Linked DNA regions of Neurospora crassa OR74A. The protein of the gene in region 2 interacts with the protein of the main gene of each other region in a pairwise test. Links are inferred from orthologs where the notes say so. Each region holds a gene or a part of one and is shown on either strand. Other genes may lie near its edges. The genes, in order: NCU07724 and NCU09808.

What was found.
Region 1: the proteins of NCU09808 (region 2) and NCU07724 interact in a two-hybrid assay, tested with the Saccharomyces cerevisiae proteins (9 studies listed by BioGRID). The link is inferred for Neurospora crassa OR74A from reciprocal best matches to the Saccharomyces cerevisiae genes DNM1 and MDV1.

Annotation. Positions count from the first base shown.
Region 1 is NC_026504.1:2,079,357-2,083,698, reverse strand, and holds NCU07724 (mitochondrial division protein 1), read right to left. Parts: upstream 3,011-4,342; 5' UTR 2,643-3,010; coding exon 2,568-2,642; intron 2,428-2,567; coding exon 1,824-2,427; intron 1,772-1,823; coding exon 765-1,771; intron 696-764; coding exon 420-695; 3' UTR 108-419; downstream 1-107. Other genes in the region: NCU07725 (chorismate mutase), read left to right, coding at 3,654-3,724, 3,807-4,342. UniProt on the Saccharomyces cerevisiae protein: Involved in mitochondrial fission. Has a partially redundant function to CAF4 in acting as an adapter protein, binding to FIS1 on the mitochondrial outer membrane and recruiting the dynamin-like GTPase DNM1 to form mitochondrial fission complexes.
Region 2 is NC_026501.1:4,118,384-4,122,837, forward strand, and holds the start of NCU09808 (dynamin-1), read right to left. Parts: upstream 2,969-4,454; 5' UTR 1,936-2,968; coding exon 1,837-1,935; intron 1,709-1,836; coding exon 1,322-1,708; intron 1,258-1,321; coding exon 1-1,257. Other genes in the region: NCU09809 (mitochondrial copper ion transporter), read left to right, coding at 3,756-3,805, 3,876-3,910, 3,975-4,089, 4,155-4,272. UniProt on the Saccharomyces cerevisiae protein: Microtubule-associated force-producing protein that participates mitochondrial fission. Fission of mitochondria occurs in many cell types and constitutes an important step in mitochondria morphology, which is balanced between fusion and fission.

The DNA.
Region 1 (4,342 bases), on a different chromosome or scaffold from region 2:
CAGAAGCACCTTTACCCCTCTTCGGACACTGCTCCGATGATTTCATGACTTCCGCATTCGAGATGATCCCCACTTGCGTCCAGGCGCGTTCACCTATTCTTTCAATGGGGTCAATGCTTTAGGTTGGCTCTGTTGGCGATACATCACTCAACTGTCGCCAGGGGCTCAGTTTTGCACAGATGAGAGATACATGTAACTGCTGTATAGTTCCATTGCGAACCTACACTCGTACAGACCCAAGGTATCCAGCCAACCCTAACAATGACTTCATTTTGTCGCTAGACGAGTCCTCTTCATAAACTCATGAACACCAATATACGTGGCCGCCCCTTTTTCTCCAATCCAGTGTAAGTCGTGTCGTATGATGTCGTATTTGTACAAGCAATGCAACCCCCCCCCCCCGGCGGACCATGTCGCCTTTAGCATGTCCAGACGCCGACGACACCGTCTTGACGGCCTTCGACCATGTAGCCGTCCCTGATGCGCACGCGTTCGACGATTGCAGGGGACTTGGCCTTCTCAGCCTCAGTGATGCCGGCGCCACAGTCCCAATGCCGTCCCTCAACCTTATCGTACACCTTAACCACATCCTCACCAGCAGCACAAACAATCCGGCGGGTGTCAAACATCATGCTGGTGATAGGGTGATCATATGCGTAAGCGTCGAAGATTGATCCAGTGCGAAGATCCCAAATCTGTGATAAGGAGCAGTGTCAGTGCCACTCGGTTTCGTAGTGTTATGGCAGAATGAGGAAGTTGCTTACACGAATGCTTCTGTCCAAGCTGCCAGTGACGAGATGAACATCATCAAACTGGAGGCAAGTAACCGGGCCGGTATGTCCAACCAGGCTACGGTGCACCTGTCCACTTCTAAGATCCCAGAGTCTAACCATACCGTCAGCAGTACCGCAAGCCAGAGCAGACTCGAAGACCTGCAGGGCACCAACGAAGTCTGCGGATCCGTCGGCAGAGCGGCTGGTCTGTCTCCAGGGACCGTCACTGCTGCCCATTGCGGTGGCTTGGGCGGCGGCCCACATCACGTCCAATGTCTGCACGCAACGACCCTTTGTAAGATCCCACTGACGAAGCGTCTTATCGGCGGAGCCAGAAACGAGCACATCTCCCCTGAAATGCAAGGCCGTAATCTCGTCGAGATGGGCCTCGAGAGTGAAAAGAGGGCAATCAGCCATGCTTCCGGCAGGCGGATCGACTGCGTGATCGTTCGGGTTGACAAACGCAAGGTCCTCGTCCTCCTCATCAACCTCCTGGCTACCCTGAGGGTCGTAGTGGGCCTTGCTCAGGTCCCACAGCTTGATTGTCGCATCCATAGAGCCAGTAGCCAAGAAGTTATCTTCAATTTGAAGAGTGCGTACAGATGCCGTGTGACCTTCAAGAGTACCGATGCAGCGCCCGGCGTTCAAGTCCCACACACGAACCGAGTCATCCATTGCAGCCGAAACCATGAGACCAAAGGGAGCATCGAAGTCGAGAGCCGTGATGTTATCCTGGTGCGCGCGCATCGAGCGAATCATCGTGCCTGGCTCGAAATGTTCGTGGAGAATCGGGAGTGTCTTCTTGCGATGGTTGCGAGGCTTCTTTTTTCCAGGAGGAGTGTTGGCTGCTGGTAATTTCTCGTAGATGGATTGCGACATGAATCCTTCTTCAGTTCTTGATAGATCCTCCTCAGACTTGTTCGGTGTCGCCATCGCCAACGATTCCGCCTCATCAGCAAGTTCTTGAGCTTCGTCTAGCCTGCTCTCAACATCCATGACTGCCAGTTGCGGTTAGTAGGAGGTCCCAAGATTAAGCGCATAAACACTTACTGTCATGCTCTAATACTGCCTCCTCTTTTTCAAGATTAGCGAGCCTGTCGAGGATGATCTTGCGCATGCCGTGCAGATTGGCGATTTTGTTATCAATCTCACGGATCTCGCTGCTAGCCATATTTTTCCGAACACCAAGCATTTCAAGTTGGTGCATCATTGACGCCTTATCTTTTTTTAACCTCTGTACCGCGTGCGGGCTTCCTGGTTGCACAGGGCTCTCATCGAGCATCTTCCTCCCCCGAGACACCCGTCGCTTGTGCTTCTTTCCATCATCGGTAAAGTCGGGAAAACTGGCCTGAAAGCCCTGGAATAACGAGTATGAGTTGGAGCTGGCAGGGATGTTTCTGAGAAGCTCATCGGGCACGTAGGCCAGTGCTCGAGATTGAATTTCCTTTGACGACAGCTTGGAGCGCACTAAATCGGTGGGCGTCGTACGCGCTATAGCGAAGACGCCCCGTTGAAGCGTGGGCTTCTGGAGCTGCTTGTGTATCTCGGTCATGGCGGTCTGGTAGTGAGGATGAGAGGTCGGGTCGGTGATGGGGCCGATCAAGTGACTTGCTGTTGTCGTCACTTTGCGACCGAAGGCCTCGAGACCCCGAGTCTGTTGCAGTTCACCCATCTTGCATTAGTTTGTGGTTCTTGGGCTGCGCCAAGCGCAATGCGGAAAGGACTCAGGAGAGGCAGAAGGGTGTCATCATGGTGGTGAACAGAGTGCGGGAGACGAAGGTGAGGAGAGCTCACAGAGATTACGGAGGTATCGTCATCAATCGACACATCGTCCGGGAACACATCACGGTTCTGATCGGAGTTGGCCATCCGTTGGCACCGGGAGGCTGCTACCCAATCGAAAAAGGTTCAAAGAAATGCCCAAGAGGTTGTTGCCGCCCGACGAACTACTAAAGCGCAAAGAGGTCGAATAGAAGCAGGACACTTGGACGACGACGCGAGAAAAATCCTGCGGGCGCTACTATCGCTGCCAAATCGCACGGCCGGGAATCGAGCGCAGCTGCGGCTAGTGGTAGCGATGCCGAAGCGATGTTGTCAATGTCAGAGTCCGCGGCAGCAACATGTAACCACGGCAGGCTGAATCAATTGCAGCAGCTGCGGATGGCCCGATGTTGTAGAGGTTGATCAGGTAAGGTACCTCGCTCCAAGTTCGCGCGCGTGGATGCGGCACAAATTTGATGTGTGAACCTGGTGAAGCACCGTGGCAGGAATCACTTTAGCTAGTCTGTTAACAGCTACCACCACACGTCTCTGGGACACATAGTTTGAAAGGTACCCTCTAAACACACTGGGCCCTCGGTGGTCGGTCTCTGCGGCTGGCAGCAGGCTGGTCGCAGCATGTTGGCGGGGAGGTGGATTTCCCGGCCAGCCGATAGCGCGCCCCCTCAATTCCCATTTCTTCCCCTCACCCCCCTGGCCCTGGTTCCCCGCACGCAAGCGACGCGCCAATTCAGGCTCGGCCTCCGTTCAGAAGGGGGTGTAACGAGAGCAGGGATCCGGTGTCTGCCAAGAAAGCCGCTGGAGGGCCAGTGGGGTACCGGATCCGCAGTATTGGTGCGTCATATGTACCAATGTACAAATGAACAACCTAAATTTTAACAGGGCCGTTGCAACGTGGGAATCTGATTGTTGTCCGATATCGAAGTTGCGATTGTTTGGTCCCAACTCTGCCGGTTGAGGGTCCTCAGGAGGGACTCAACGCTCACTGTACACAACAACTGCCTCTTGTCTTCTTTGTCAATTGATATCTTACTTGCACATATAACCCAAATCTCTATTCCAAGCCGTTATTGCACCTACCGCGACACCTCGGCTTTCAAGATGGACGCTATCATCGAACTGTCTGACGTCGACAAGGCGCTTGATCTTTCGCGCATTCGCTACCAGCTAATGTGAGTCAAGAGAGAGCTCAAGCACTGAACGATCACCTCGACAATCCTGGAACCTATGCCAACTGATACGTGTGTCGAACAGCCGTCTAGAGGACACCATCATATTCCATTTGATCGAGCGTGTTCAATTCCCCCTCAATAAGAACATTTACATCCCTGGCGCCGTCCCGCTCCCCGACACCGACCTCAGCTTGATGGACTGGTACTTGTGGCAGCAGGAGCGTCTCCAGTCCCTCATGCGTCGCTACGAGTCACCCGACGAATACCCTTTCTTCCCCGACGCCGTGCAGAAGCCCATCCTCGAGTCGATCGACTACCCCCAGATCCTCCACCCCAACAACGTCAATGTGAACGATCAGATCAAAGAGTTCTATACGCAAAAGTTCCTTCCCAGCGTGTGCCCCGACTTTGGCCGTGAGGATCGTGGTGTCAACAAGGAGAACTACGGTTCCTCTGCTACCTGCGATATCGCCTGCCTGCAGGCCATCTCCCGGCGCATTCACTTTGGCAAATTTGTCGCCGAATCCAAGTTCCAGTCTGAGACGGAAAAGTTCACAAAGTACATCCAGGCCGGTGATCGCGAAGCCATTGGAGAGGCTATCACCAACCAGGCTGTTG
Region 2 (4,454 bases):
GGTTTTGCGCACGTGGACGTTGTCCGTCTTCTCCAGGGTAGTACTTTCTTCTTCCCCTTCAATAGGGGTCTCGGTGGCATTCGTGCCAAGCTCCTTCAGCCGTCTCCGTTCACGTCTTTCGCGCTCCTCTTGAATCAGACGTTTCCTCTCTCTCTCCTGCTTATTGCTCACAACGTGGCTCATTGCTGCAGCCGCACCGAGGAAGTTGGGGTGGTTAGTGTTGATGTAAGCCCTCTGGATGGAAATTAGCGACTCGACATAGTTGGACGCGGGACCCAACCGTTCCCTAAGCAAGTCAGAAACAACTTCGATGAGCTTGGCTTGCAGCCTGGGAAACCTCGATAGCTCAGTCGAGCCACAAGTGTGGCAGATCTTGATGAGCTCCTCATATACCAACTCTACGCAGCGCTGACTGGGTGGCTCAAGAAGCTTGATCTGGGGCTTGACAAGGAGATCGAAGGCCATCTCAGGCACAAACAAACTAGGCCGGGGACCAGTCGAGTTGCGAATCGCGGTCCGGATATCGAGCGCGGTTAAATTGGAAGTGGGGTCGATCGATTCCAGAGAGCTTCCAAAGACCGAGTTGAAAATGTAGTAGATGCGAGCACCGCCGCAGAGCTCTTTTGTCGAGATTTCCGTTGAGGTACCGTCAATGGACGCGATGAAAGATGACGCAAACCTGGTCATGAGCTGCAGAATAAGAGAACCTCGGTGCTCCTTGCCACTGAAGTGCATGTCCCCGTAGCTTGCCAGTTCCTGCTGGGTTTGACCCATCAAGGTATTAAGACGAGCCTTGATGTCTGGCAAGCGTTCGCGAATGTGAGCCATCAAGGTGGTGTTGAGGGTCCTGGCGAGGAACTGAGTTCCGCAACGGGTGGAGATGTTTCGATACGCGGGATGATGCCTGAAGAACTCGGACTCGGACTTCAAGGCCTCTTCCATGGGCTTGTTGCCCTGAATATCCTGCTGCGATCTGTTTACCACGCCAATCCAACCAAGCTTGAGCGGGTAGACCCGACCAGACAGTATGTCCAGGGCATTTGTTCCGTGATCCATGAGATCGACTTTTGTGAGAACACCAATGGTCCTCCTACCCATGGGATCGACATGCCTGGCAAGCTTCAAGGCCTCCGAGTTCACAATGTCGACGTTAGCAGGCGAGACAGCCAAGACAATACTGTTGGGCTTTGCAATGTACTCGGAGATGAGGTTGCGCGTCTGCTTCTCTATGTCTGTAGGCTGGTCTCCAATGGGAACCTGCACGGATATACGTTAGACCAAGTTATGACGGCATGTTCACCAGAGCTTCAAAGCGGCGTACCTTTGTGAGACCAGGCAAATCAACGAGCGTTAGGTTCAAAACGTGGGGAGAGAAAATCTTTAGGTTGATGGGCTGGCGGTTAATTCCCTTGTTGGTACCCGCAACTCGCGCGGTCTCATTCTCGATTTCGCGCTTGACGTCGCCAAAATCGGTGAACCTCCGATTGGGAATGTGGTGAAACTCTGCCCACTCGTTGCGGCCAGCAGCATTGGGGTTCCTGTAGCTGGGATGGGTTGCATCTTCGGCGTCGTCGTCGGCGGGGACGTTTATTAGCTGAAGAATGAGGGGTCTCCGAGTAACGATTCCACTGCCGCGGGGAAGAAAGTCGCGACCGACAATGTTCTCGAGGACGGACGACTTTCCAGCGGACTGGGATCCAACGACAACCTGTGATGGAGAGCAGGGGTCGTCAGCAGTCTGGTGGCGGAAAAGGAAGGGGAAAGAAGGACGATGGGGCAAGGAGCGGTTGCGGGCATGGAGCGGACAGGTGAAGGTGGTGGGCGGGTATTGCGTACGATTTGGGGCAGATCCAGGGAATCGTTGCCGATGGTGTTGAAGACCAAGTCTTGCAACTTGTTGACAACGCCCAGCAGATCGTCACCGAGGGCAGCCATGATGACGGTTGAGCGGGGGGAAAAAGCCGAGAAAATCAGTCGCGTTTAGAAAGCGCAAACGCAAGCGGTAAGGTGGGCGGAAGCGGGAGTTGAGCGCAAGACGGAAGTGTGAAAACGGGCCCGAGGTCGGGCAGGACGAGGTCACGATTCGGGCGGTCGCACGGGACCGGGTGGGTGTATGGGGGCAAGTGGGCTCCCGGGTTTATCTGAGGGTCGATGGTCTCGTCGATTCACAAAATGGGTAAATACAAGACGAGTGCTAGGTGGTGGTTGGCGGCTGTGCGGGCGGGTGGCAGGAGAAGAGGCTGGCGACAGAAACCGAGTCGGGCAGGTGGTTTGGATCAATCGGATCGGCTTCAGGACAGGAAAAGAGTTTACAACCGAAACTTGTGTTGCCTGTTGCTGGCTGACTGGCGGGACAAGGCACGAGGCGATCAATGATCTATCCAAGTGCAGCCAATACGTACAACGAGTTCAAGGCAGCACACAGACAGCTCGAAACCTGAAGCGATGAGGGATGCCCTCAGTAGTTGTCGCGGCGCCTCGATGGTGAGTGTGGATGTGGATGCGGACGTCGATGTGGATGCCAAAAATCTATAACCCGGGGAGGGGGGGCGCGCTTCCAGAATCCAAAGCGTTGCAAACACCCATTCACTCGACACAGTGAGGGAGAGGGAGGGGTCGGTCCATGGTCCCCTCGGGTCAAATTCCACGTCCCCACTTTCACTTGGTCGTCAAAAGTTTAAAACCTCGCTCAAAGGGGGCAGTTCCCTTGATGCGTTGTCGTCGCGCCTGCACCCGGGCAAATCGAACCCGACCCGGCCTGATGAACAGGTTTCCAGGCCTTCATGCAACCGGCACGTTGACCTGTGTACCCGACAACACACCGGGGTCTGTGACTGGCTCTCGGCGGCTCAAAGAAGAGTTCAGAATTTGAAGCTCAACTGCCACGGCTCCACAGACAAGCACCTCTTATGTACATTGTCCACTACACCACTACACTATAGGTATAGAGGTTGAAATTCGACAGCGGGGACGGCGGAAGGCGGGATGGCGGGGATGAGCAGGCATTACACGGTGCGTCATCTGGCTTGTCCGTTGATCCGAAGTTCTTGGCTCCCGGCCGGGCTGCGGACCGCGGGCTCAGACAACGGTGGACGGAGGGCGGAGGGAGAGACGGGACCTTCGGAGGTCGTCCACTCAGCACATGTCGCTGGCCTGCCGATCTGAACATCGGAGTCTGTTTCCGGGATGCATGCAGAAAGTCCTTGAGGTTTATACCGGTAGTTCCCCATGGACATCAAGCCGACTTCGTTCGTACCGTAGCTCCATGGTCCCGAGCGTATCTCTGTCCACGATCCACTATCCACCCTAGGTACCTACCTACGCAGTACCTAGTAATCTGTAACCTCCCGTGCTGCCACCTTCCGGTAAAACCGAACCCGGGGACCTCATAATGCCCTTGGCCTTCCCATTCAGCGCTTGCTCAACTGCACTAACAAAGCTTACCCCGTGGGCAGGCATTTCATGAGCCTGCTACGTTAGGGTCCAGGTAGCTGAGACCGTGCTGGAATGCCGATTTCCAGGAGCACTTCATCCGCATTCAAGACTCCAGCGGGCAGTTGCACACCTCGAATCCCCAGCTGCGAACGCCCTGCAAGAGGAGGAAAACCACAGAGGGGGGAACCCAAAACTTGGTAAAAGCTAGAGGTACCTCTACCTAAGCTAAACAAAAACCAAAATACCCTGCCCTGCCCTGGTTTCGTTTGACTACCTCTACCAACTTTGCGGCAGTTCATCACCGTCACCGGCTTTGCAATATGAGTACCTTTGGAAGTCCCGGTGCCTTGCCAACAACAAAACCCACGCCGTAAGTCCACGAGCCCAGAATGCAATGTTCTACCCTGAAGGCTTGTCCAACTGACCAACAACACCTCAAGGCCCCAGAGAGGCAGCTTTCCCCTGGATCATGACGGTAAGGCTCAGCACCAATGCATGTATACACTGGTCTCAGCTCTCACGCATACTTTGCCCTCCAGGAGAATGCAAACACGTCATGACAACCTACCTTGCCTGCATCAAGAGGGTCAAGGGAGTCAACGAAGATGAGTGTCGATCGCTGGCAAAGGCCTATCTCGCATGCCGCATGGAACGGTGGGTGGCAGCTACAACTCCCTGAATGTCTCTGTCTGGTCCCGCGCTAACCATGCGATATTCAGCAACTTGATGGCCAAAGATGATTTCAAAAACCTAGGCTTCAAGGAAGACGAACCATCAAGTACGCCCAAGCCGGCCGCTGAGGCTGAAAAGGGCGTGAAGGGAGAGTTACGGTGGTGAGAGGCTTGAGTTGTAACCAGCGTTGCTTGATGACATGTATGGGGGAAAAGGAAAAAAAAAAAAAAAAAAAAAAAAACATTTTTGGCCTTTGCCGACGTCTCCTTCCATTTCGCGAATCGTCTGTCTTGTCAAAAGCTTGCAAGTTGCGCCACAAACACCTGTTACCCCTGCCACCAGCTAGC